4 linked regions of the Arabidopsis thaliana genome follow. The protein of the gene in region 1 purifies or fractionates together with the protein of each later gene. This does not show direct contact. Each region holds a gene or a part of one and is shown on either strand. Other genes may lie near its edges.

Evidence for each region.
Region 2: the proteins of SDH1-1 (region 1) and HSP60-3A purify together in Arabidopsis thaliana (affinity purification with mass spectrometry, with the first as the bait; one large-scale study listed by BioGRID). This does not show direct contact.
Region 3: the proteins of SDH1-1 (region 1) and HSP60 purify together in Arabidopsis thaliana (affinity purification with mass spectrometry, with the first as the bait; one large-scale study listed by BioGRID). This does not show direct contact.
Region 4: the proteins of SDH1-1 (region 1) and AT5G12040 purify together in Arabidopsis thaliana (affinity purification with mass spectrometry, with the first as the bait; one large-scale study listed by BioGRID). This does not show direct contact.

What each region holds. Positions count from the first base shown.
Region 1 is NC_003076.8:26,651,646-26,658,196, forward strand, and holds SDH1-1 (succinate dehydrogenase 1-1), read left to right. Parts: upstream 1-1,961; 5' UTR 1,962-2,130; coding exon 2,131-2,238; intron 2,239-2,418; coding exon 2,419-2,586; intron 2,587-2,680; coding exon 2,681-2,768; intron 2,769-2,898; coding exon 2,899-3,045; intron 3,046-3,139; coding exon 3,140-3,280; intron 3,281-3,467; coding exon 3,468-3,553; intron 3,554-3,628; coding exon 3,629-3,721; intron 3,722-3,816; coding exon 3,817-3,880; intron 3,881-3,973; coding exon 3,974-4,117; intron 4,118-4,240; coding exon 4,241-4,428; intron 4,429-4,536; coding exon 4,537-4,711; intron 4,712-4,793; coding exon 4,794-4,964; intron 4,965-5,062; coding exon 5,063-5,132; intron 5,133-5,226; coding exon 5,227-5,347; intron 5,348-5,438; coding exon 5,439-5,579; 3' UTR 5,580-6,051; downstream 6,052-6,551. Other genes in the region: CHR1 (chromatin remodeling 1), read left to right, coding at 18-112, 187-306, 410-529, 615-713, 804-908, 1,000-1,224. UniProt on the Arabidopsis thaliana protein: Flavoprotein (FP) subunit of succinate dehydrogenase (SDH) that is involved in complex II of the mitochondrial electron transport chain and is responsible for transferring electrons from succinate to ubiquinone (coenzyme Q).
Region 2 is NC_003074.8:4,560,998-4,566,864, forward strand, and holds HSP60-3A (heat shock protein 60-3A), read right to left. Parts: upstream 4,339-5,867; 5' UTR 4,137-4,338; coding exon 4,099-4,136; intron 3,979-4,098; coding exon 3,957-3,978; intron 3,638-3,956; coding exon 3,506-3,637; intron 3,403-3,505; coding exon 3,243-3,402; intron 3,131-3,242; coding exon 2,955-3,130; intron 2,864-2,954; coding exon 2,768-2,863; intron 2,687-2,767; coding exon 2,582-2,686; intron 2,505-2,581; coding exon 2,418-2,504; intron 2,301-2,417; coding exon 2,130-2,300; intron 2,052-2,129; coding exon 1,983-2,051; intron 1,907-1,982; coding exon 1,829-1,906; intron 1,729-1,828; coding exon 1,633-1,728; intron 1,553-1,632; coding exon 1,453-1,552; intron 1,369-1,452; coding exon 1,265-1,368; intron 1,176-1,264; coding exon 1,070-1,175; intron 979-1,069; coding exon 900-978; intron 807-899; coding exon 707-806; 3' UTR 520-706; downstream 1-519. Other genes in the region: AT3G13857 (uncharacterized protein), read left to right, coding at 174-302; RHD3 (Root hair defective 3 GTP-binding protein (RHD3)), read right to left, coding at 4,765-4,980, 5,091-5,187, 5,290-5,384, 5,602-5,706, 5,816-5,867.
Region 3 is NC_003074.8:8,666,929-8,673,116, reverse strand, and holds HSP60 (heat shock protein 60), read right to left. Parts: upstream 4,346-6,188; 5' UTR 4,105-4,345; coding exon 4,067-4,104; intron 3,877-4,066; coding exon 3,723-3,876; intron 3,577-3,722; coding exon 3,417-3,576; intron 3,326-3,416; coding exon 3,054-3,325; intron 2,969-3,053; coding exon 2,864-2,968; intron 2,778-2,863; coding exon 2,691-2,777; intron 2,586-2,690; coding exon 2,496-2,585; intron 2,410-2,495; coding exon 2,329-2,409; intron 2,260-2,328; coding exon 2,191-2,259; intron 2,062-2,190; coding exon 1,984-2,061; intron 1,871-1,983; coding exon 1,775-1,870; intron 1,682-1,774; coding exon 1,582-1,681; intron 1,496-1,581; coding exon 1,392-1,495; intron 1,311-1,391; coding exon 1,205-1,310; intron 1,126-1,204; coding exon 1,047-1,125; intron 954-1,046; coding exon 839-953; 3' UTR 539-838; downstream 1-538. Other genes in the region: AT3G24000 (Tetratricopeptide repeat (TPR)-like superfamily protein), read right to left, coding at 1-343; BLI (BLISTER), read left to right, coding at 5,677-5,733, 5,981-6,188.
Region 4 is NC_003076.8:3,883,318-3,888,581, forward strand, and holds AT5G12040 (Nitrilase/cyanide hydratase and apolipoprotein N-acyltransferase family protein), read left to right. Parts: upstream 1-1,631; 5' UTR 1,632-1,844; coding exon 1,845-2,105; intron 2,106-2,191; coding exon 2,192-2,308; intron 2,309-2,457; coding exon 2,458-2,682; intron 2,683-3,005; coding exon 3,006-3,099; intron 3,100-3,456; coding exon 3,457-3,531; intron 3,532-3,646; coding exon 3,647-3,725; intron 3,726-3,818; coding exon 3,819-3,834; coding exon of another isoform or gene 3,835-3,852; exon of another isoform or gene 3,853-4,042; coding exon 4,043-4,123; intron 4,124-4,212; coding exon 4,213-4,295; intron 4,296-4,376; coding exon 4,377-4,455; 3' UTR 4,456-4,760; downstream 4,761-5,264. Other genes in the region: HSP17.6A (heat shock protein 17.6A), read right to left, coding at 897-1,367. UniProt on the Arabidopsis thaliana protein: Omega-amidase involved in the metabolism of asparagine. Probably also closely coupled with glutamine transamination in the methionine salvage cycle.

The sequences.
Region 1 (6,551 bases):
GTTTCATTTCGTGACAGATCTCTACCCTCCTGTTGAAGAGATTGTTGGACAGTGTGGTAAATTCCGCTTATTGGAGAGATTACTTGTTCGGTTATTTGCCAATAATCACAAAGTATGTTTCACAAACCCATGGCTCGTAGCTCATTTCCCTTTGAGAACTTCTCTGATCCATTTGCTGATGACCAGGTCCTTATCTTCTCCCAATGGACGAAACTTTTGGACATTATGGATTACTACTTCAGTGAGAAGGGGTTTGAGGTTTGCAGAATCGATGGCAGTGTGAAGCTGGATGAAAGGAGAAGACAGGTTTCACCTGTGCTTATGCTGCTTTTGCGTTGCTTTTAAGCAATATTCTGACCAAATATTATAACCATAAGGTCTCTCTCTCTCTCTCTTTGCCTTGAAACAGATTAAAGATTTCAGTGATGAGAAGAGCAGCTGTAGTATATTTCTCCTGAGTACCAGAGCTGGAGGACTCGGAATCAATCTTACTGCTGCTGATACATGCATCCTCTATGACAGCGACTGGGTAATCAAATCAATTAATTTATTTTCTTTGAAGGAAAATCTTTCTCTTTCGTGTTGTCTCCAACTGTGTTTTGTCTGATCTCCAGAACCCTCAAATGGACTTGCAAGCCATGGACAGATGCCACAGAATCGGGCAGACGAAACCTGTTCATGTTTATAGGCTTTCCACGGCTCAGTCGATAGAGGTAAAACTCTTTGTTGTTCATATCAATCAATCTTAACTTCAAACCATTGAGATTGTTGCCTCATGAGATTGGTTTATGACATTTGCTCAGACCCGGGTTCTGAAACGAGCGTACAGTAAGCTCAAGCTGGAACATGTGGTTATTGGCCAAGGGCAGTTTCATCAAGAACGTGCCAAGTCTTCAACACCTTTAGAGGTTTTAACTTCTCTTAAAGCTCAATCCTTTTTAGATACACTTATTATCAACAAAATCTCCTATTGACAGCTTGAACCAAACTAACACACAGGAAGAGGACATACTGGCGTTGCTTAAGGAAGATGAAACTGCTGAAGATAAGTTGATACAAACCGATATAAGCGATGCGGATCTTGACAGGTTACTTGACCGGAGTGACCTGACAATTACTGCACCGGGAGAGACACAAGCTGCTGAAGCTTTTCCAGTGAAGGGTCCAGGTTGGGAAGTGGTCCTGCCTAGTTCGGGAGGAATGCTGTCTTCCCTGAACAGTTAGGACACATTAATAAGCCAGGCCTTGAAACCACTTCTGTGTTTTTTTTTTTTTTTTCCGGAACATGATCGGTTACTTTTGGCTGGGAGGATTTAATTATTAGAGGGCTCGGAAGTTTTTGTAAGTTAAAGAACTCACTTAAAACCCTGAAAACATGACAGTTAATGGTGATTAGCTCTCAATGTGATGAAAACAATTGGCCCTCTGATTTTGCTGTTGCGGTAATATTATGACTTGTGTACGTTTATAGTCTTTGTAGTCTGCAATTTTGGCATTGAGCTATTTCTCACGAACTTATGGGATCTTATGTTTTGGATTTGGGATTTGTTAACTTATATGATTAGGCTCAATAGTTTCACAGAATATTAAAAACTTGAGTAGGGTTTAAAAAAGAAGCAAAAAGCTCCGATGCCGGGAATCGAACCCGGGTCTCCTGGGTGAAAGCCAGATATCCTAACCGCTGGACGACATCGGATTTGTTGATGTCTATTCTTGTAAATAGTAAATATTTAGTTTTATCGGTTTTGCATCTAATGGACTAAAACATGAACACGAGACGCCGACAAGAATGAATGGGGCAGGCACCAAACATTTGGGTAAAAGTATGCAGTGGGGTATTATTGACAATTTGACCATTACAAGAGCTAATCTTAGGGGGTTTTAGTTAGTAAAGCAAACCCGGTTTAGGAGTAAATATGGAGTGAGAATAGGGGTAATTAAGGGAATTTAAGAGAAGTCATCATCGTTTTCCATTTTTCTTATTTTAAGCGCCTCGGTGGCTATCTCTCACTCCGTTCGCGTCTTCCTCTTAAAGGAAACCTCCTCTACGCGAAATTCGTATTCTCTCATTTCTTCTACGGAGATTTGCATCGAAGAAACTGACTCGCTTGTGGAATCAACAACAAGACGATGTGGCGCTGCGTCTCTCGTGGCTTTCGAGCTCCTGCTTCAAAGACCTCTTCACTCTTTGATGGCGTCTCTGGATCTCGCTTTTCCAGATTCTTCTCCACTGGTTCTGTATGATCTCTCTTCCTTCTCCTTCCGTTTTGTTTATTTTCTAATTCGATCTTATGTAATTCACGAATCATAGTTTTATCCGCCATTCAAATGCGTTAGTAGTCGAGCAAATTGTTGAAAATCGGGGAAAATTTTGATCGATTTGTTTTGTGGTGTTTATTTTGGTTATCTGTTGAGTAGACCGATACGAGATCCTCTTATACGATAGTGGATCACACTTATGATGCGGTTGTGGTGGGAGCTGGTGGTGCTGGTCTTAGGGCGGCGATTGGGTTATCGGAGCATGGCTTTAACACCGCTTGCATTACTAAGCTTTTCCCCACAAGGTCACATACTGTTGCTGCTCAGGTATTTTTCGTTACTAATCTCCTTATACTGTCGATTTTTAAATATAGTTTTGTTTCTTTTTGATTGAGATTATGTTGTCGAAAAAACTGTCAAGGGTGGTATTAATGCTGCACTGGGAAATATGTCCGAAGATGACTGGAGATGGCACATGTATGACACTGTCAAAGGAAGTGACTGGCTAGGTAATCTTAGTCTTCCTTTTGTTTCTTCTCTTTTTTTAGTGAAATGTTTTTTTTTGCTTTTTGTAGCTCTTATGTGATGTGGTTTAGTGAATTGATTAGTGAGTTCTTTCTTGTTTATTTCTTTGTGTAGGTGATCAAGATGCTATCCAGTACATGTGTAGAGAGGCACCAAAAGCAGTCATTGAACTTGAGAATTATGGGCTGCCTTTCTCTCGTACTGAAGAAGGGAAAATTTACCAGCGTGCATTTGGTGGTCAGAGTCTTGACTTTGGAAAAGGTGAGTTGTCTGATGTCTTGCTATTATTGATATTCCTATTTACTTTGTTTTTTAATAGGTCTCTCATATTGGCTTTCCTATTTTTCTGCTTCAGGTGGTCAGGCCTATCGTTGTGCTTGTGCTGCGGATAGGACTGGTCATGCTCTGTTGCATACTCTCTATGGACAAGCTATGAAGCATAACACACAGTTCTTTGTTGAATACTTCGCCTTGGATCTGCTCATGGCTAGTGATGGTAAGTTAATCAAAGTTATTCTCCTTTTACTGTCGCTTCTATTAGTATTTGCCAATTTGGTGGAGGGGTGATGTCAGTAGAATTCAGAACTAGTAGTTGATTTTATGAGGTGGTTGGATGGATCTTATTGATCGATTTAAGGGAAAGCGACTTTGAAGTTAATGCAACATTTCTATCTGATATGCAGGCAGTTGCCAGGGTGTAATTGCACTAAACATGGAAGATGGAACATTGCATCGTTTCCGTTCTTCTCAAACAATTTTGGCAACTGGGGTGAGCTAGTTTCTATATGATACGATTTTTTGCAATAACGAAAATATGCTCACCTGGTGGCTAATGTTTTTCCAGGGGTACGGCAGAGCATACTTCTCTGCAACCTCAGCACATACATGCACAGGGGATGGAAATGCAATGGTTGCACGGGCCGGTCTTCCACTGCAGGTTTTCCACCTGTTTCGTTTTTATTCAAAATTGTGTATGATGTATTTGTCTGTAATTTGTATGCTAATAATCTTATATTTAATAAATTTATGCAGGACTTGGAGTTTGTTCAATTCCATCCAACTGGTATATATGGGGCCGGATGTCTCATCACCGAAGGTTAGTATCATGTTCTCACATACTCGAATTTGTTTGCAATATAAAATTTAATGTGTTTTTCACAAAAAAAATTTGGTGTTTAAACAATTGCAGGATCTCGAGGTGAAGGTGGTATCCTTAGAAACAGTGAAGGTGAACGTTTTATGGAACGATATGCTCCTACAGCCAAGGATCTTGCATCAAGAGATGTTGTCTCCAGATCCATGACTATGGAAATCAGGGAAGGTCGTGGTGTAGGTATGTTCCACTGAAAACTACTTCTTATTTTCAGAGTGAACTCTCATTACATGATATGCTTTGATATTGTGATCAGTCTAGTTTGATTCTCACCCTGGACAACTTTTTGCTGATATCTTCCAGGACCGCATAAGGATCATATCTATCTCCATCTGAATCATCTTCCTCCAGAAGTTCTAAAAGAAAGGCTTCCTGGAATCTCTGAGACCGCTGCCATCTTTGCTGGTGTTGATGTTACCAAAGAGCCAATTCCTGTCTTACCCACGGTTCATTATAACATGGGTGGTATCCCAACAAACTACCATGGCGAGGTAAGAATAAGAAAAGTCATTTAAGAAACTTTGCTGAAATTTGTGTGGAGTTAAGCATGAGATGGATTAGAAGCCTAGCTCTGAAAGTTATTCTGTTAAATCCTGCAGGTAGTTACCATCAAAGGCGATGATCCAGATGCAGTGATTCCTGGGCTAATGGCTGCTGGGGAGGCAGCTTGTGCATCTGTTCATGGTGCCAACAGGCTTGGTGCAAATTCACTGCTCGACATTGTCGTATTTGGTCGTGCTTGTGCAAATAGGGTTGCAGAGATAAGCAAACCAGGTTAGTCTTTTTTGAGGACTGCTGTTATTATAAAAGATAAGTCTCTTCTGATCATTTTTTTTTCTTTATTCGATTGGTGCAGGGGAGAAACAGAAACCTCTTGAGAAGGATGCGGGTGAGAAGACTATTGCATGGCTGGACAGGTTGAGAAACTCAAACGGGTCTCTACCTACTTCAACTATCAGATTGAACATGCAGAGGATTATGCAGAACAACGCAGCTGTGTTCCGCACGCAAGAAACATTGGAAGAAGGTAAACAGTGATCTGAACTTGTTCTGCATTTATTTAATTCTCTCACCTGCAACTGCAATCCATTTTCTTTACAATTTATTACCGTGAAACAATCACAGGTTGTCAGTTGATTGACAAGGCCTGGGAAAGTTTTGGGGACGTCCAGGTGAAAGATCGGAGTATGATATGGTAAGACAGACTCTATTCACATGGGATTGATTATCACACTGTTATAAAATCTGGTGAACTCTTGTTAATCTTGGAAACTATGAATAAAATGCAGGAACTCGGATTTGATAGAGACATTGGAACTGGAGAACCTTTTGATAAACGCATCCATAACAATGCATTCAGCAGAAGCACGAAAGGAAAGCAGAGGAGCACATGCTCGGGAAGACTTCACGGTTTGATTCCTTGCTCAGCTTTTCCACAATGATTGATTATCCCATAATGATGAAACCATAACGTAGTATAAATGAATGCGTGTGTATGCAGAAAAGAGAGGATGGAGAATGGATGAAGCATACATTGGGATATTGGGAAGATGAGAAAGTGAGATTGGATTATAGGCCTGTTCACATGGACACTCTCGACGATGAGATCGACACTTTCCCTCCCAAAGCTCGTGTCTATTGATCGAGCCCATGTTTTTATTTTATCTGTTATCGGAATAATAATAATAATCAGGAACCCCCCAAAAAAAGGGAATTAGGAGAAGAAGACGGAGTTATGAGCTGATGGAGCACAAAGGACTGTTCTGAAACTGGGTTTACGTTTTACACCAGAAACGATGAAAATAAATTGATAGAAAGAGGAAAAAACACTACAATTCTTATTTTCTTTATCAGTTCCTGAAATTGTTACATTCTTTGTTACCTGTTAATTACGCCTTGGTGATATTCATTTTTTTTTTTTAAATCAAAATGTTCGAATTCCGTATCGACCGTGAAAGTTATTTTGCGGTGATAATAGGTATCAGAACACGAGATACAATTTTGAGTTGTGACCATTAGAAAAACAAAATTTGGGTTGTTTTTTCTTGTCTGAACAAAATTTTATTTTAGGTAAATTCGGATCAGTCAAGGCATTTTTTAGGCCTACAAGTGGGGGTAATTTCAAATATTTTTGTTCAATATTTGCGTATCTGAGCGAGTTTTAGATTGGTCCGATCGTCGTCGCTAGATGATAATGTTGGCCGTAGAAAATGTGACCTTTATAATGTATCTCTCTTTAAAAGTCGTCCACTTGCTTATGGCGTATACTAAAAAAGTGCTCTTCCACATATGCAAATTGAAGATACAGTCGGTGAATGTAAATACAAAAATGATCTATGATTACGACCTTGAAGCTTAGAAACTAGCCCCACACCAATTCGACTAATTATGTAGTTCAATATTACACTAACCAACCATAAGATATTATATTTTTCCGCATGCGTGTGTGTTATTCCTAATTAGAACCAATCGATAACAAAATTAGAAAGCTCCACACAAATTAAACTAAACCAGTCGACTTCACCAACCAACCTTATCTATTAACCTGCTCATTTCACATTTAACAATTCCAAAACCCAATCAATTATAGTTAATTAAAAAATTTCGACACAAA
Region 2 (5,867 bases), on another chromosome or scaffold:
TCTTATATAGGCCCATTTAAGTTGAAAACAATCTTCAAAAGTCCCACATCGCTTAGATAAGAAAACGAAGCTGAGTTTATATACAGCTAGAGTCGAAGTAGTGATTGTCCCTTAGGGGACATCCGATAAAATTGGAACGATACAGAGAAGATTAGCATGGCCCCTGCGCAAGGATGACACGCATAAATCGAGAAATGGTCCAAATTTTTTTTGCAAAATTTTCCAGATCGATTTCTTCTTCCTCTGTTCTTCGGCGTTCAATTTCTGGGGTTTTCTCTTCGTTTTCTGTAACTGAAACCTAAAATTTGACCTAAAAAAAATCTCAAATAATATGATTCAGTGGTTTTGTACTTTTCAGTTAGTTGAGTTTTGCAGTTCCGATGAGATAAACCAATAACTTTGCTTAGATCTAATTCATTCCGTTACACCTCTGATGGAGATGGAAGGTTCTTAATAATGATGCCATTTTTTGGGTAATAATTTTGAATTAGAATCAAGGGTATAAGATTCATAATTAACATCACTTAAGCAAAGTTCGTAATATACGACCACAGGATATAATTTTTGAATTCAACAAAATTCATTAAAAATTCACTGTAACAATATATATAGAACCAGACAACCAAATTTAAATCGAGAAAAGTTTCTAACTTTAGTAGAGAAAAATAAAAATTTGAATGTTTCTTTTTTTGTAGAGGTCACAAGATCACATGCCCATGCTGGCCATATCAGGGACATGGTTTGGAGTGTTCTCGTCTGCCTTCACAAGCACTGAGGCCTCTGTTGTTGTCAAAAGCAAAGAAACGCTGCATTTTGTACACACACACACATGATAAGGAGTTAGTTTATTATTCCACAGAAGCAACCAAAGGTTTTGAGTTTGTTAGGACACTCTTTACCTAGCAGCATCGGTTAAGGCGGTTCTGATCACCTTGACTGGGTCTATGATTCCAGCTTTCACCATATCCACATATTTACCTATGGCAACACGAAACAAAAACGGCAGACACTTTCAGAGATCGATGAGATTTGCGATTGATAATGTTCTCAAAGACACTAAGTTTCTAACCTTTGGCTGCATCGAAACCAAAATTGCAATCGTCTTGCTCTAATAACTTGCCAACCACTAAAGAACCATCGTAACCGGCATTTGCAGCTATTGTAAATGCAGGAGCCTACACAAGATTCACAACATCATGTCAGGTTTTACAGTTTGGGACATGGACGGAAATCTTTCATCAAGAGGAAGTTAGAGATTATTAACCTTGAGAGCATTCTGAACAATCTGAACACCTCTTCTTTGATCCTCGTTTTCAGTTTGAAGGTTGTCTAAAGCCTTTGTCGCATATAATAGAGCCACACCACCACCTATTTGAAATTTCCTCCGTTAAAGGCACATCATGTGAGCTATATCAGAGTAAATAGAGAGAAGATGCGAATAATTTCTATTACCCGGTATGATGCCTTCTTCTACAGCTGCTCTTGTGGCGTTTAAAGCATCAGTGACTCTGTCTTTTCTCTCTCCAACTTCAGATTCACTTGCCCCTCCCACCTATATAGGAACAAGGCACATATCAGCTACTTTTCGTATGCAAGAGTTTAGAAAGACCGATTGATGGGTGATTGACTAACCTTGAAGACTGCAACACCACCTGATAGCTTTGAGAGTCTTTCTTGCGTTTTCTCTTGATCAAAAGTGGATGTACTCTTTTCATTGGCTGATCTTAACTGTAGAGCATGAGAGTAAAAAGGATTGCTTCTACTGTATAAAGAATATTCTAGTGAGCAAGATTCATGTCAGAGATATTGTAAGAAAATAATCATATACCTCTTCACATCTTTCTTCAATTAGCTTTTTATCACCACCACCATGTAGGATAATAGTGTCATCACGGGTAACGGTAACCTAGTTTAAAGAATTTGTGTTAGATTTGAATCACACAAAAGCAAAAACAGAAACCAGTTATGATTTCTCCTGTTACCTTCTTCGCAGTTCCAAGCAATTCAGGGCGAATTTTTTCTAGAGATAGCCCACGCTCCTCAGAGATAACCTGTGCATAAACAAGTGAGTTAGAAAATGAAAACGTGACACAAACATAACTATTATGTTGTTTCTGAGAAATTTCTACCTCTGCACCAGTAAGAACTGCAAGATCATCCAAGCTTGCTTTCCTGTTGTCACCAAACCCCGGAGCCTTGATAGCACATACCTTAAGCCCACCATGATGCTTATTGAGAATAAGCATAGCTAATGCATCACTCTCAACATCTTCTGCTACAATAAGAAGTGGTCTACTACTCTGCACAACCGCAAACAATAAGAGAAAGAAGTGAGTAGTTTTCTTGTAGCCAACTATAGAAACCGCCAAACCGGACTTCAGAACATAGTATTCTAGATAATCAAGGGAATGCTTTACTTTCACAGCCGCTTCTAAAACTTTCAACAAAGAGTTAATGTCTGAAATCTTCTTCTCATGAATGAGGATGATGGGATTTTCAAGCTCCTGAAAAACAAGCACAGGTAGTTCAATACCCTTTCTTTCCTTTTCACACAATACTAAACACGATAGATTTCACTCACGCATTTCTGGGTCTTCTCATCCGTGATAAAATAAGGAGAAATGTAACCTCTGGCTAGCTTCATTCCTTCCACTACTTCCAGCTCGTTATCTAAAGTGTTACCATCCTGGGTATTTGAAGAATAACACAGCGATCAGACAACCATCAAGTGATCTATTATAAGGCATGAAAAGAAAAGTAAGCTTACAGCAACAGTGATAACCCCTTCCTTTCCAACTTTCTCCATGGCTCTTGCAATTAGTTCCCCTATTTCACGCTCCCCATTTGCAGATATAGTGGCAACCTATCAAAGGAACATATGCAGTAGCAGTAATAGATCAACCTTTGGTATAGCATTCACAATTCCTGACTTATGAATATGTTTCTAAATTCACCTGTGTGATCTCTTCTGGGGTGCTAATCATAACAGCTCTGCTTTTCAAATCAGAGACAACTGCAGCAATTGCCATATTAATTCCAACACGCAAATCCATCACATTTACACCTGCAGCCACCGACTTGCAGCCTTCGATGAGTATCGCCTGAGTCAAAACAGTGGCACAAGTGGTACCTATATAACGAAAGGAAGGCAAGCAGAAATTAAGACTTTACTATTATCTCTTCACCGTATGTTTTCAATAAAAACTTATCCATGATTATGAACTCAAAAGAGAAAATATTACCATCTCCAGCAACCTTGTTAGTGGCACTTGCAACCTGTTTGACGAGTTCGGCACCAATGTTCTTAGCTTTAGCTTGAAATGATATGCTTTTTGCCACGGTGACACCATCCTTTGTGATCTTTGGTCCGCCATAACTGCTCTCAATTATCACATTTCTTCCCTACACCACAGAATTAAAAAAAAAAGATATTGAATTTGAAGACTGTTTCAAAAACAATCCACTCTACATTGATCTAAACCTTGTGAGAACGAAATATATATACCTTTGGTCCCATAGTGACTTTCACAGCTTCTGCAACCTCGGATACACCCTGCAACATAGCTGCCCGAGCTCCGATCCCGAAACTGATATCCTTGGCCGCATAGTTTCTGCTACTTATAATCCGCCCAGAAACCTTCATGGTAAGAGAGAACACCAAAAGAAAATCAAAATCGGAATTAATTAGTTTGATACAGGGTACGGCCAATTCAAGCTAATCATTCCGGAACTAGAAGATCTTCTATTGCATCTGAAACCAATAAAAGCAGAGCAATTTTGCAAATTAAGTAGCTTAAGGTGGAGATTTTGATGTAAACCCTATTTTTTTCATTGCATAAACTATCAGGACTAGTAATTTGACACATTTCTAGCAATTTCTCTGTTACCAACAAGAATGCCCATAAACGAAATGCAATCAAACTCGCAAAAAGACAGAGAGAGTTCACGAAACTCACCAGTTTCCTGGAAGTAGACGAGCTGCAAGACAATCAAACCCAGAAAGAGGAAGAAGAAAATTAAGCTCTGCTCATCAAAAAATATTGATCGAGAAAAATACAAGTTTTGAATAAGTTCGTTGAATGAAAGAACGAAACGTACCCAATTGAAGAAGATAACTTTGATAGCACTCGATACATTTCCGCTTGCAAAGAACTAGAGAAGGAGACGCTTCAAGGGTTTAGGGTTTTTCTGGGGTTTCTTAATCAAGGAATTAAGTTCCAACCTCCAAAGAGTGAAACTTTTTTCTTTTAGAAAAGCTAATAGTCTGGAACTTTCTTTGTGCTCTGTTTCTGCATCTCCCATAATTAGGTTTACAGTTTCATCCGTTATCTTAGGCCCATTATGAATTTTCCAATGGCCCAAAAACTCTATGCTAACATGATTACACTATAAACTTGCAATGAGAACCTGAAATTCTCTTCAATCAACAAAAACCAAACTGAATTTCACTTAATCAAAAACCGGTTTTTCTTCAAGTAACATTCTTTTTATCAGATACAATAACCACATCACTACAGAACTCGCAAACAAATCATGAGTTTTTTTGTTTTTGTCTGCATCAGAATCTTAGTCTAGGAACATACAAGATCACTTTGACACCTGCAAGAGGGAACCAATGCCATCGGAGACATAAAACATATGGCTCTCGGTGAATCTCTCTGATCAACACCAAAACTGAGAGCTACCTTTTTGAAAGGGTAACGAATTTTAAGTTTCTAGCTTCGTGGGCTAGCACAACAGCTTAAGCTTGTATACTTCTTTGTTCTATGCACTTGTATCAATGGGTACGTTTTTTGCTGGAGATGAACCAGAGCTACTGCTGCTGCTGCTTTCTCCATTGGTTGTAACCTCGGATTGAGCTGTAGAGTTCATTGATTGGTTGCTATTTGTGGGTGGTGCTTGTCCTTCTTCCGCAAGCTTTTTGAGGAGGTTCATGACCGTTGGAATGAATTTGGTTGACAAAGAGAGAAGTCCAGGTAGCTGTTGTTGATCATAGATGAAACATTGGCATTTCGGTGAGATTATAATTGAGATCAAATGAAGAACAGGGGCAAAAGTAAAAATATGGATGTTGGATATCGTGCTCATACCACGCCGTTTTGGAATTCTCCTGAAATATTTAATTGCACCCACAAGGCTTTGGATACAAGGTATCCGACAAATAGAACTAAGAGCCATAGAGGATTTCTGCCATGAGAGATGCAGGCACGAAGAGCCAAAGTGAGTACGGAATCTTGATTGTATGAAAAAGCCGCCGAGTCAATTCAAAAGAATGGACAAGGAGGGTACCTTAAGAGAGTCATAAATTCATTAAATCCAAGAACAACCAGGGCAAGGATTGCCCATGGAGGTGGCAGCCAGTTGTTATTCCGTCGGTTAGCTTCCTGAAATCCAAGGAGACTTTATTCAGATTGAAACCTCAATTATTTTTCCGGGTGTTAGCTGATTAAAGAACAGATGAGAAAGGAGACAAGAAGCTAGAAACGACATGACCAAAAAAAGATATTCAAAAACGTTTTGTAGCATTGCCAAATTTTAACATCAGCTCATGTGAATGAGCAAACGGAAGATATGCTTGAAAGTGTGGATTGCAAAGATTACCTGTGCAGAAATGGCCTGTGTAACGGTATATTCTGTCTCGTTCTTAAATTGCCTCCACAGTGATTTACACTGCACAGGTGTGATCAACGTCTTTTCTGGTGCAACCTGATAATAACAAGGTAACAGTAAGGATCTTTTATATCTCAAAGGTGTGAGTACTAAATATGAGACCTTTTGTGTTTTCATTATATACAGTGAGTAAGGTTTTAGTCACCTTCTCCCAAGTGCTTGAGGCAAGTGAATCAATTGTGCTGATGCTCTTGCTA
Region 3 (6,188 bases), on another chromosome or scaffold:
GAGCTTCCTCCAAACTTCCGCATTTAGCATACATATTGAGAAGAGTGTTGCCCATAACAATGTCATGACGAAAGATAGATTGAAGGATATGAGCATGAACGATCCTTCCCTGAATGAGCAACTTAAAGACTGTACATTTCTTCAGCAGCGTGTTGTAGAAACGTCTATCGGCGGGAATATAACTGCCCTCGAGATCATTGCTACTCGTTCGGAGAAGAAGATCATTGGATGGGAATTTTAAAGATTCGTCTTCGGAATCTTCAGATACCGGTGCCGGGAGAGAATTCAGACGCCGAGATAGCTTCAGCTGAGAGAGGAGACGAGGCGGGAAACGCAATGCCATGGTCGACACTCGACAACATCAAAGATGCTAACCGGAGATGAATTATAACTGAAAATAGTTTGGTTATCTTCGGTTTGTGTCAATGTATATAACCGGAATATATTTCAGTTCGATTTCATGGTAATTTGGATTTTGTGGTTTTCGTTTTTTTGGTGCATTTCAGTTAGTGGTTGCTTAATTTTGCTAAATCTTGGTTTAACTACGATGAAACTTGGGTATATATATAAATACTGTAATTTGAAGGGTCGGTTTATTGTTGGAGTACCAGACCTGAACCAGAAGCAATGACAAACACAAATGATGCCTTAGGAAAATTTGTTGATGCTAATAGTGTGTCTCGTAACATTGCCAAGTGTGCTCTGTTTATTGTAAAACTTTTGAGGTTATTGAGCAACAATAAGGCAAAGACGAAGACTAAAACTCCTAAAAGAATCGTATCTCTCTTCTCAAGTTAAGATGGTGATTGGTGAAAACAAAAGACAGAATTTAGTGGATCTAGTAGTCCATGCCTCCCATTCCACCCATGCCTGCTCCTGCTGCTCCTGACTCGCTTTCGTCTTTCGGAAGATCAACCACTACAGCTTCCGTTGTCGTCAACAAAGATGACACACTGCCAACAACGCAAGTATACAGTTTTAGCTTAAGACTCATATATCGAAATGAAGAAGAACATTGTTAGTTAGGGTGTTCGCTTTTTATTTACCTCGCAGCATCAACCAAAGCTGTCCTGATCACTTTCAGAGGGTCTATGATTCCAGCTTTCACCATATCCACATATTCACCTAGTTTGTTCTCCACAGTTAGCTAAATGCAATCTTCAGAGAGAACAAAAGTGAAGTGATGATGGATTGTGAAACTCACCTTTAGCAGCATCATAACCGAGGTCTGGGTTATCTTGCTCCAAGAGCTTGCCAACAATAACAGCACCTTCAACTCCAGCATTTGAAGCGATTGTGTAAACAGGAGTCTGGTAAACCAAAACTCGTTAAAACAATTTCTTGTCATCAATTATCAGATCAGAGGATTTTAGTTCTAAAGAATAGAAAACCTTCAATGCGTTCTGAATAATCTGGACACCAATCTTCTGGTCAAAGTTGGCTGTTGGAAGTTTTTCCAACTCTCTTGCTGCGTATAGAAGAGCCACACCTCCTCCTGCAAGTGTTTTGATTTGTTTCTTTAGCACATAGCAAACTTTTTAGCACTATATCAAAGAGTCTTCCTCACTGGAAGAGACATACCTGGTAAAATACCCTCTTCAACTGCTGCTTTAGTGGCATTCAAAGCATCTGTCACTCTGTCTTTCTTCTCACCAACTTCAGCTTCACTTGCTCCTCCAATCTAAACACAATTAGCTCCAGAAGTTATAACAAGACACTTACAACCAGGCTGCTATGATTCTAAGACTCCCAAAACATTATAACATGGACTAACCTTCAACACTGCAACACCTCCAGAGAGCTTAGCCAACCTTTCTTGCAGTTTTTCCTTGTCATAATCTGAGGTGCTCAGTTCAATTGCTGACCTAATCTGTTAGTTGCAATACCAAGCAATTAGAACGAACTACTTTCATACACTTCATAATTTCTTGCATACAAATTTTATTACTAACCAATTTATCAGGGTATAAGGTTAAAAATTACCTGTTCACATCTTTCCTCAATTCCTTTCTTGTCGCCAGCCCCATCAAGAATAACAGTGTCGTCCTTGGAGACTGTAACCTATACAAATAGCCAGACAAGTCTCAACTACACTTACAATCCAACAAGGATATGCTGAGAATGTAATAGCCAAATCTAGTTCATACTAAGAGCCACCATGTCTATATCAGTTAAGGTTTCAAAGGCTACCTTTTTGCAGGTTCCTAGCATGCTTAGGTCCACCTTCTCCAGATTCATGCCAAGCTCGTCTGTGATAACCTGTATCAAGCTAAGTCAATAATATTCCATTGTTGACAAGACTAACACATTACACAACAAATGTACTACCTCTCCACCAGTAAGGGCAGCAAGGTCTTGCAAATTGGCCTTCCTATTCTCTCCAAACCCAGGGGCCTTGATGGCACAGACCTGCAGGGAGGAAACTATTAATCTAAAAGCAAAGAAGTCATAGCTAAAAGTCAGGAGACGGTAGTAAGAGCTTCTGTTGTTCAAACCTTAATTCCGGCACGGAGCTTGTTAAGGATAAGAGTTGCAAGAGCATCACTTTCCACATCTTCAGAAACAATCAATAGTGGTCTTTGCCTCTGTAAGATTTTATTTGGACAACAGAAACCACATCAGATGCCTTTCACACAGCATTTACATGAGAAAATGATTACAGATTTACTATAAAGATAAAGTAGACATACCTTCAGAGCCAACTCCAACACTTTCACTATAGAGTTGATGCTTGAGATCTTCTTCTCGTGGATAAGAATGAGAGGATCGTCTAGTTCCTACATAGATTAATTCCAATTCAGTAACTTCTATAATTGATATGACACATCAAGAAACTTAATTGAGCAGGGAGTAAAAAACTTACACATTTTTGGGTTTTTTGATTAGTGATAAAGTATGGTGAAGTATAACCTCTGTCCAATTTCATCCCCTCTACAACTTCCAACTCGTTAAACAATGTCTTTCCATCCTGCAATGCATTATACCCACGTCAGAATTATGTTTTGACCAATATATAAGTAGCAACATGAGCAATCATTCGGCGATTTACTTACTTGGATTGTGATAACACCTTCTTTGCCAACCTTCTCCATAGCCTTGGCAATAAGTTCACCAATTTCCCTCTCTCCATTAGCAGAAATGGTTCCAACCTGAGCAATCTCTTCAGATGTGCTGATCATCCTAGCCTTGCTTTTAAGGTTTGTCACCACAGCATCAACTGCCATGGAAATACCTCTTCGCAAGTCCATTGCATTCATTCCTGCGGCAACTGATTTGCATCCTTCGGCAAATATAGCCCGGGTGAGGACAGTAGCACAAGTAGTACCTGCATGACAAGTTAAACAAGCATTGGTACATAGTTTTGCAAAGTTTCTACAACTATGAACCGCATAATCAATCAAAATGAAATATCTTACCATCACCAGCAACATCATTAGTAGCATTTGCAACCTGCTTCACAAGACTAGCACCAACGTTCTTAATTTTGTCTTTGAACTCAATACTTTTGGCAACAGTAACACCATCTTTTGTCACTTTAGGAGCACCCCAACTTTGCTCAATCACAACATTACGTCCCTTCAAAATTAGAATCACATAAAGCAGAAAGTCTTAGACCAAATTCGATACAGAATCAACCGGTCACCCAAATCACATGCTAAGGAAGGAACCTCTGGCCAAATCATGTCCAAATCAAATCAAAATGTGTAGAAGAAAAAGAGTACCTTGGGACCCATGGTGACTTTAACAGCATCAGCAAGATCTTCAACACCCTTAAGCATCAAAGCTCGAGCTTCAACACCAAACTTAATCTCTTTCGCTGCATAGTTCCTGCTCCAGCTCATTCTGCTGGAAACCTGGCGAGCGTTTTGAGCAATCCTGAAGAACAGAGAACAATAAAGACACCATTTTTATTATCAGAACTGGCAATTCAGAATCGGGATTAAGCTAGTAGATTTCGAGAGCCCAGATGAATTTGAAGAGAGTAGATCAAAACCCAAATCGATTTAATTCCTCATTAGCTTCCAATGAGAGTGAATAAAAAACACGAAGAAAGTGAGTTCATTACCTTGCCTTGGAGGCGAGGTTAGAAGCGAAACGATACATGGTGAGTGAGAAGGAAGAGGATTAACGATGAAGAGATGATTCTGATGAGCGAGTTAGATTAGATCAATGGAGAACAGGCGGAGAGAGAGAGAGAGAGAGAAGAAGAGTTGAGAGGGCTTAATAAGCGAAGGAGAAGAGTCTAGAAGCAGCTGCTAGTTACTATATGAGCCTTTTAGGGTTTTAGGCCTCTTTAGGGTTTAACTTTCATTTCAAACTTAAAAATCGTTAATCTCATTTGACGAAAAAAAAAAAAAAAAAAGTCGTTAATCTCATTTTCCAATTTAATTTCTGTAATATTTTTTGCCCCAAAGAAACAGATTTCATTTTTTCATCTTTTGATAACCAGCATTTGTGATTTTGCCATAATATACATGTCAAATTTTATATAGCGTTTAACCAAAAAATAAAATAAAATTATATCGCTTGATCTAAATATCCTTGAATCTAATCAAACTGAACCACACCAAACCAAAGAAAACCAACGGTAATTAAATGGTTCCGGTTGGATTAGGTTTTTGGTTTAGGTTTGCTTCAGCTCTACAAAACAAATCGGTGTTTCGAGTTTTTTAAATTGAATTTGTTCTCTAAAATCAGTGGCAATTTGTGTAATATTTTACCTCAGTAAAAGTTTCTTAAATACGCAAAGATAAAAACTGATAATATGAAATAGAACTCCAAAAGAAATCCAAAATCCAAACAATGCAAACAAAAAAGTGAACCAAACCCCATAATAAACACCTAGATGATACCAAAAGGTTGACCTTGCTTCACTTTTTTTCTTCATTACTTTGCTCTTTTAGTTGTCCTAAAGTAGAGGAATTTGAAGCTTCTATTGATATTAAAATTTGTCAATTTCTCTCTTTAAAAACATGAGTAATTTGGTGGGCTGTCGTCATGTTCCACGGGCCACATGGATGCTCCTATTTATTTTCTTTACCTGTCATATGTGTCCATCACGACTCATTTCTCTCCATTTTTTTTTCTCTTAATTTTCTTACTACCTAAACATTCTCTCTTATTTTTCAAAAAATACAACAGACTATGAACAAATACATTACACACTTCTTATACATTTTTAAAATCAAAAGCTACATGAAATCTAAATTTCACCAAACAAACAATGAGTGAACGTTAAAAAAAAATTGCAACCAAACAAAGAAAAAAAAAAACGAGTAAAAACGTTTAATTCAAAGCAGAGAAGGGGAAAATAAAAAGAAAGGGATCTGTTAAAAAGAGATCTGACGAACAAAATTAATATTTGAACTTCGTCCTCCTCTCCTTCAGATCGAAAACCCTAATTTCGATTTCTTTGTTTGACAATTCCATCGATTTTTGAACTTGTTTTCTCGAGATCTCCATCTGTTTCCTCCACCCCGAAATTTCAACGATATCTTCTCGATCTGTGCGTCAGGATCTGGGCTTTTTGAAATTTGAGTTTTCTCCTCAATCATAACAACGGCGATTTCCGGGAATGGCTTTGGCTAAAACGGATTCAATGGTAATTGAAAAAGCATTGATTTGAAGCAATTGGAGAGGGAACATTTCCCTCTGCGAGATTTCGAGTATTTTTCAATGGCATCAGCTACTAGTTCCCGGAGGCAAGAGGACGTTGAAGCTGGACGCCGTAAGGTAGATCATCATCATCATAATCATCATCTTTTGTTTGATTCTCTCGTTACTTTGAATTTGCCCCTAAAATTTGTCGGTGCTGAGTCAATTGATCATTTTTTTTAGGTGGGTTGTTTATATTGGAATTGAGATTGATGTCCTAACGCATGCAATCAGAATTGAGATTTATTCGACAAAAAGCTTGTTTTTTTTAAAGATGAATGCGTAAAATTGTGTGTTTCTTATCGTTTAATTTCTGGATTTTCAGCTTGAGCAGTTTCGTAAACGAAAAGCAGCAGAAAAAGCTAAAAAGGCATCACAGAATACACAACCTGTTGATAATAGCCAACAAAGTGTCATAGATTCAGATGGAGCTGGTGCATCTATCTCTAATGGACCTCTCAAGCAATCTGCTGAATCTACCTCAAATGAAACCCATACCAAAGATGTATATAATTTATCATTTTCGAATACAG
Region 4 (5,264 bases), about 23 Mb from region 1:
ACTTGGATTACAAGTGTACAACATGCACCTCAAGATCAGAAGTTCAAAGTCTTAATGATGGAAACAAGACTAAATTAGTATATGCTCTGGTTTCTGGTCAGAAAAATTAATGAAAGACCATATTTATTTTAGTGACCAAAGAAAAATACTATATATGTGGTAGCACTAACTCACTGAATACCACTAAATCGTGTATAACGACATTAATATAAGCTATTAAAGACGGTTACAAATCTGCACAAAACTTGATTTGTCTTAAAACTCAGTTGATGTTATTTGCATTCGCAAATGCAAATTTCATTTAAAAAATAATGTAGCAGATTGAGATATCAGACTTCGTATTATACTACAGATGTAGTAGCTGAAGATTCAGTTACGTTATCCAACATGAAAAAAGTACAAAGAGTTGTTTGGATTTTAAAATCAGAATAACAAAATTGTTTCCTTTCATCTAATACTTAAAGGATAAAATTGAATATGTAAGAGTTTTTGCAGATATAATAACACTGTGTTACTGATCTCATACCCATAAATTACTTCAAGGGACATAACTCCAAAAATATATTTTGCTGACTGCAGAGATAAGGGTGAAATGCAAATGTGGATTTGATGGCCAATGTGCTAAATAGCACCAATGATATTAGGAAAGGATGAACAGTAATAATTTCTGCAAAAACAGAGGAATGACCATTCGGTGTCTTTTTTGTTGTGGTCCTATTTTTGCCTCATAAGCATGGATGGTTCAAGAGAGCAAAAACTTCATTGATTTGAAGATTGAACACAAAGACAAATATGAACAGAGAAAACTATTTTTATTTCATTTTACAACGAACACCAAGAGGTAGTTGCTTATCGATTACATTCATTAAAACACAAAAACACGATCACAAACAAACTCAAGCGACTTGAACTTGTATAGTCTTTGGTTTCTTTGGCTCAGGAGGAGGAAGTTTCGGAATAGTCACTTTCAACACACCGTCATTACAAGCCGCAGAGATCTTCTCCAAATCTGCATTATCAGGTAACTGAAACTTCCTCATAAACTTCCCCATCCTCCTCTCCATCCTCACAAACTTCACACCTTCATTCTCCTTGTTGTCCCTCTGTCTTTTGCCACTCACCACAAGCACGTTCTCGTTCTCTATCTGGACCTGAATCTCATCTCCTTTGATTCCAGGCATGTCCACGGCGAAAACGTACGCATCCGGGTGCTCGATAACGTCAGCTGGTGTAGCAGCCATTGCCTTTGCGTCTCGCATGTAAGCTCTTGAAGGGTTGTTACGAGTCTTCTCGGTTTGTTCTTCAGGGGCTTCAAGCATGTCTTCGAGGATTGAAAATATTGGAAACCTTCCAAACTCCAAATCCATTCTTAGCTGTTGTGTTAACTTTCTTGCTTCTTGGCTTTTTCTTTGGTTTGATTGATTTTGATTTTGATGTAAGAAAGTATTAAATAGAAGTTGAGTTGGATAGTTCTAGAGCAATGTAGAGAGAGCGATTGTTTCGGTGTTATAGAACTTAAAAGCGCTTCTCTAACGTTCGAGAAACGTCTTGATCGTTGGAGAAGTGTAGATGGATATTTCTAGACGAATGTAGAGAAAAGCGATTGATTCGGTCAGGCCCAAGACCAATTCGTTTTCAGGCCCATATGTATTCTGTTTTGGATTTAGTAAGGATGTTAAATTTATCCGGTTTGGTACGATTTCATTCGAATTTAGTGTATAAAATTGATTGAACCGCGTCAATACGGTTGAAACGCAAACGCAGAGGATTCATGAGTCATGGCTTTTGTGAGGTGAAGTATCAATATCATCTACCTACCTATATGATCATCGGACTAAAGTGAAATGAAGTCAGCAATTTCATCGTCACTCTTCTTCAATTCGAAGAATCTTTTAAACCCTAATCCTCTTTCTCGCTTCATTTCTCTCAAATCTAACTTCCTCCCTAAATTATCTCCGAGATCGATCACTAGTCACACCTTGAAGCTCCCATCTTCGTCAACCTCAGCTTTAAGATCCATTTCCTCTTCCATGGCTTCTTCTTTCAACCCTGAACAAGCTAGAGTTCCCTCTGCTCTTCCTCTCCCAGCTCCTCCGTTGACCAAAGTTAGCTCCTTTCTTTTCATTTACCTTTGGGTTTTCAATCATTTCAGCTTTTGATTGATTTCTTCGTTCCATGGGTAATTTTGTAGTTCAACATCGGATTGTGTCAGCTATCTGTTACATCTGACAAAAAGAGAAACATCTCTCATGCTAAAAAAGCCATTGAAGAAGCTGCTTCTAAAGGAGCTAAGCTTGTTCTCTTACCCGTGAGTTTTTCTTCTTTGTATCTTAGCTCATAGCTCTTTGTGAGTTCAATTCTAATGTTCTGTTGCTCAAATGTGTAAAATTTACAAAAAGTATGAGCTAGTGGTATCGTCTCTATGGGGTTTAAAACCATTCAATGGGTTTGTTTCAGGAAATTTGGAACAGTCCGTATTCCAATGATAGTTTTCCAGTTTATGCGGAGGAGATTGATGCAGGTGGTGATGCTTCTCCTTCAACGGCAATGCTTTCTGAAGTTTCCAAACGTCTCAAGATTACAATCATTGGTGGATCTATACCAGAAAGAGTTGGAGATCGTTTGTATAACACTTGCTGTGTCTTTGGTTCCGATGGAGAGCTAAAAGCTAAGCATCGGAAGGTTAGATTTTTTGAGATTAAACTTTCATAGAAGAAATAATGAACTTTCCTCTGCTTTAGGCCATAGAATGAAAGATGCTAATCTTACTTCTAAAATCGTTGTTCATCTTTTATCATCTGTTTTTAGGATCTAATAGACTTAGAATCAGTAATTAGAATGATGTGGTAGTTATGTTCTGGTTCGAGTTCTTCCTCTATGATTCATAAGGACAAATTATGAGGCGAGATGGCCTTGACCGTTTTATGCTTATATTATCAATTCTCAGAACATCTTGTTTTTGATTGCTTGCACTTATTTGTGTTTGTACTTGTGTGTGCATACAGATACATTTATTTGATATAGACATTCCCGGGAAGATTACTTTTATGGAATCCAAAACTCTTACTGCTGGAGAGACACCAACAATCGTTGACACAGGTTATAATCTTGGTTTGCCAAATATAATTCCAGGTCATGCATAAACAATCATGTATCTTACATAAACTCATTGTGGTACTATCTAAAAATAATAATTTAGGATTAAGGATTTAAATTTCCAGTCAGATTTGGGATCTTCTTAGCTCAACAGTGAAATGATTCATTTTCATGCTGGCCTAGTGTTTATGAATAATAATGTTTTTAAGATCTTGCCAACTATTTTGACTGGGGAAATGTCTTTATTGAACAATCAAGTCATAGTAGGACCGTTCACATCACCTCTCACTTTCTAGTACTTATGAGAAATCTTTAACGCGGTGCAGCGCTTGAGAATGATAGTTTTGTTGGTTGTTGCAGATGTAGGGCGTATTGGAATAGGCATCTGTTATGATATCAGGTTCCAGGAGTTAGCTATGATATATGCTGCAAGAGGTGAGTCTTCATATCATAATGCTTTATCCAAATGGACTATCTGCTTCCTCTCTTTTTCGGGTCCATTACGTTTTAAAGAACCTCATCACCCACATGTTTACTTTAATCATATCAGGGGCTCATTTGCTGTGCTACCCGGGAGCCTTTAACATGACAACTGGACCATTGCATTGGGAATTACTACAAAGGGCCAGGTATGATTCACAGTCTACTACATTACGACTTTCTTGGCTTATTTAATCATGGGTAAATCACAATGCTCATCGATCTGTTTTGTTCCATTTCAGGGCTACGGATAATCAGGTACATGAACCAAGTTAAATACTTGTATTGATAGCCAAAAGAGAGATACAAGTTCTGACATTTCTTAATGAATTCATAGCAAACCTGCATTTTTCTTTGAGTTATCAATACAAGTATTATCTTCTGCTCTTTGGGGTTAGTTTTACTTAATTGACTGTTATCAAAGTCATGGACCGGTTAATAGAACTATGTATGCTACTTTCTCCAGTTATATGTGGCGACATGCTCACCTGCCAGAGATTCAGGAGCTGGCTACACTGCTTGGGGGCACTCAACACTCGTTGGGCCTGTAAGCACTAAACTTTTTCTGTGTTACTTGATTGATAATGAAGCTTTTAGCTGATCACTAAACTTTGAAACATATATATTATTTGACAGTTTGGAGAAGTACTAGCAACGACTGAGCATGAGGAGGCCATTATCATAGCAGAGATTGATTACTCTATCCTTGAACAACGAAGGTAATCACGGAAACACCAGAACTTTCTTGGTTTTTGATAGCGTGATCCGCTAACTGAATCTCGTTTTTTTTACCATCTTAGGACTAGCCTTCCATTGAATAGGCAGCGGCGGGGAGATCTTTACCAGCTTGTAGACGTACAGCGCTTAGACTCTAAATGAACGCAGCAGTAACTGTATATCTGAGAGATATTGCGAGTTGAGCACGATTTGGTTACTTACAACTTCATGCATGATCAGTCATTTCTCCACAACTTTGCTGAGATATGTAAAAGAATAAAAATCAAACTTTTGAGTTAAAATCGAACAAAGGCAAGTAAATTCTGCTTAGATAATGTGAACTCCACCCACTTGCCATGTGTTTGTTGTTTATAAACTTCAATGCATTCTGATAACAATGTAGACTTGTGATTCGCAATCAGAATAGCATTTGACTTTTTTATCAAAATATATACACTATTTTTGTGAATTTCTCAGTAAATGTCATTGTCTATGAAAAAAACAACTCATATCTTCATTCCACAACCATCATATTCAATATCGAGTACTTACTTAAACTAAAATTGTTATAACTGGTTCTTCAAATGTTCACACCTACTCAAAACGTTTCATCACATAACTCAAGTCAAGTCAAAGATAGCCATGGTATATTTTGCTACACATCAAGATTTGTAATATGCAATGTAATTTGTTTTAGATGAGAAGAAGAAAAGAGTATATAGAGTATGCAGATAGGTTCATCCACAAGCACAAGTGGGATATAAAAGATTTGAAAATGAAATAACATATAAACTTTTGTCAGCGGCCTCAACATGATTTGAAGATCCGTGGTTATTGTTGAATGATAAATGACCGGACGACAAAATGCAGTTACAACAGCAGAAGCCTTACAAGATTCACCACAGTGTGTAGTGGTTTCGTCTTTGGAGAAGACACGTGGACCAAGCCTATAGGGTAAAGAAAGACGTAGA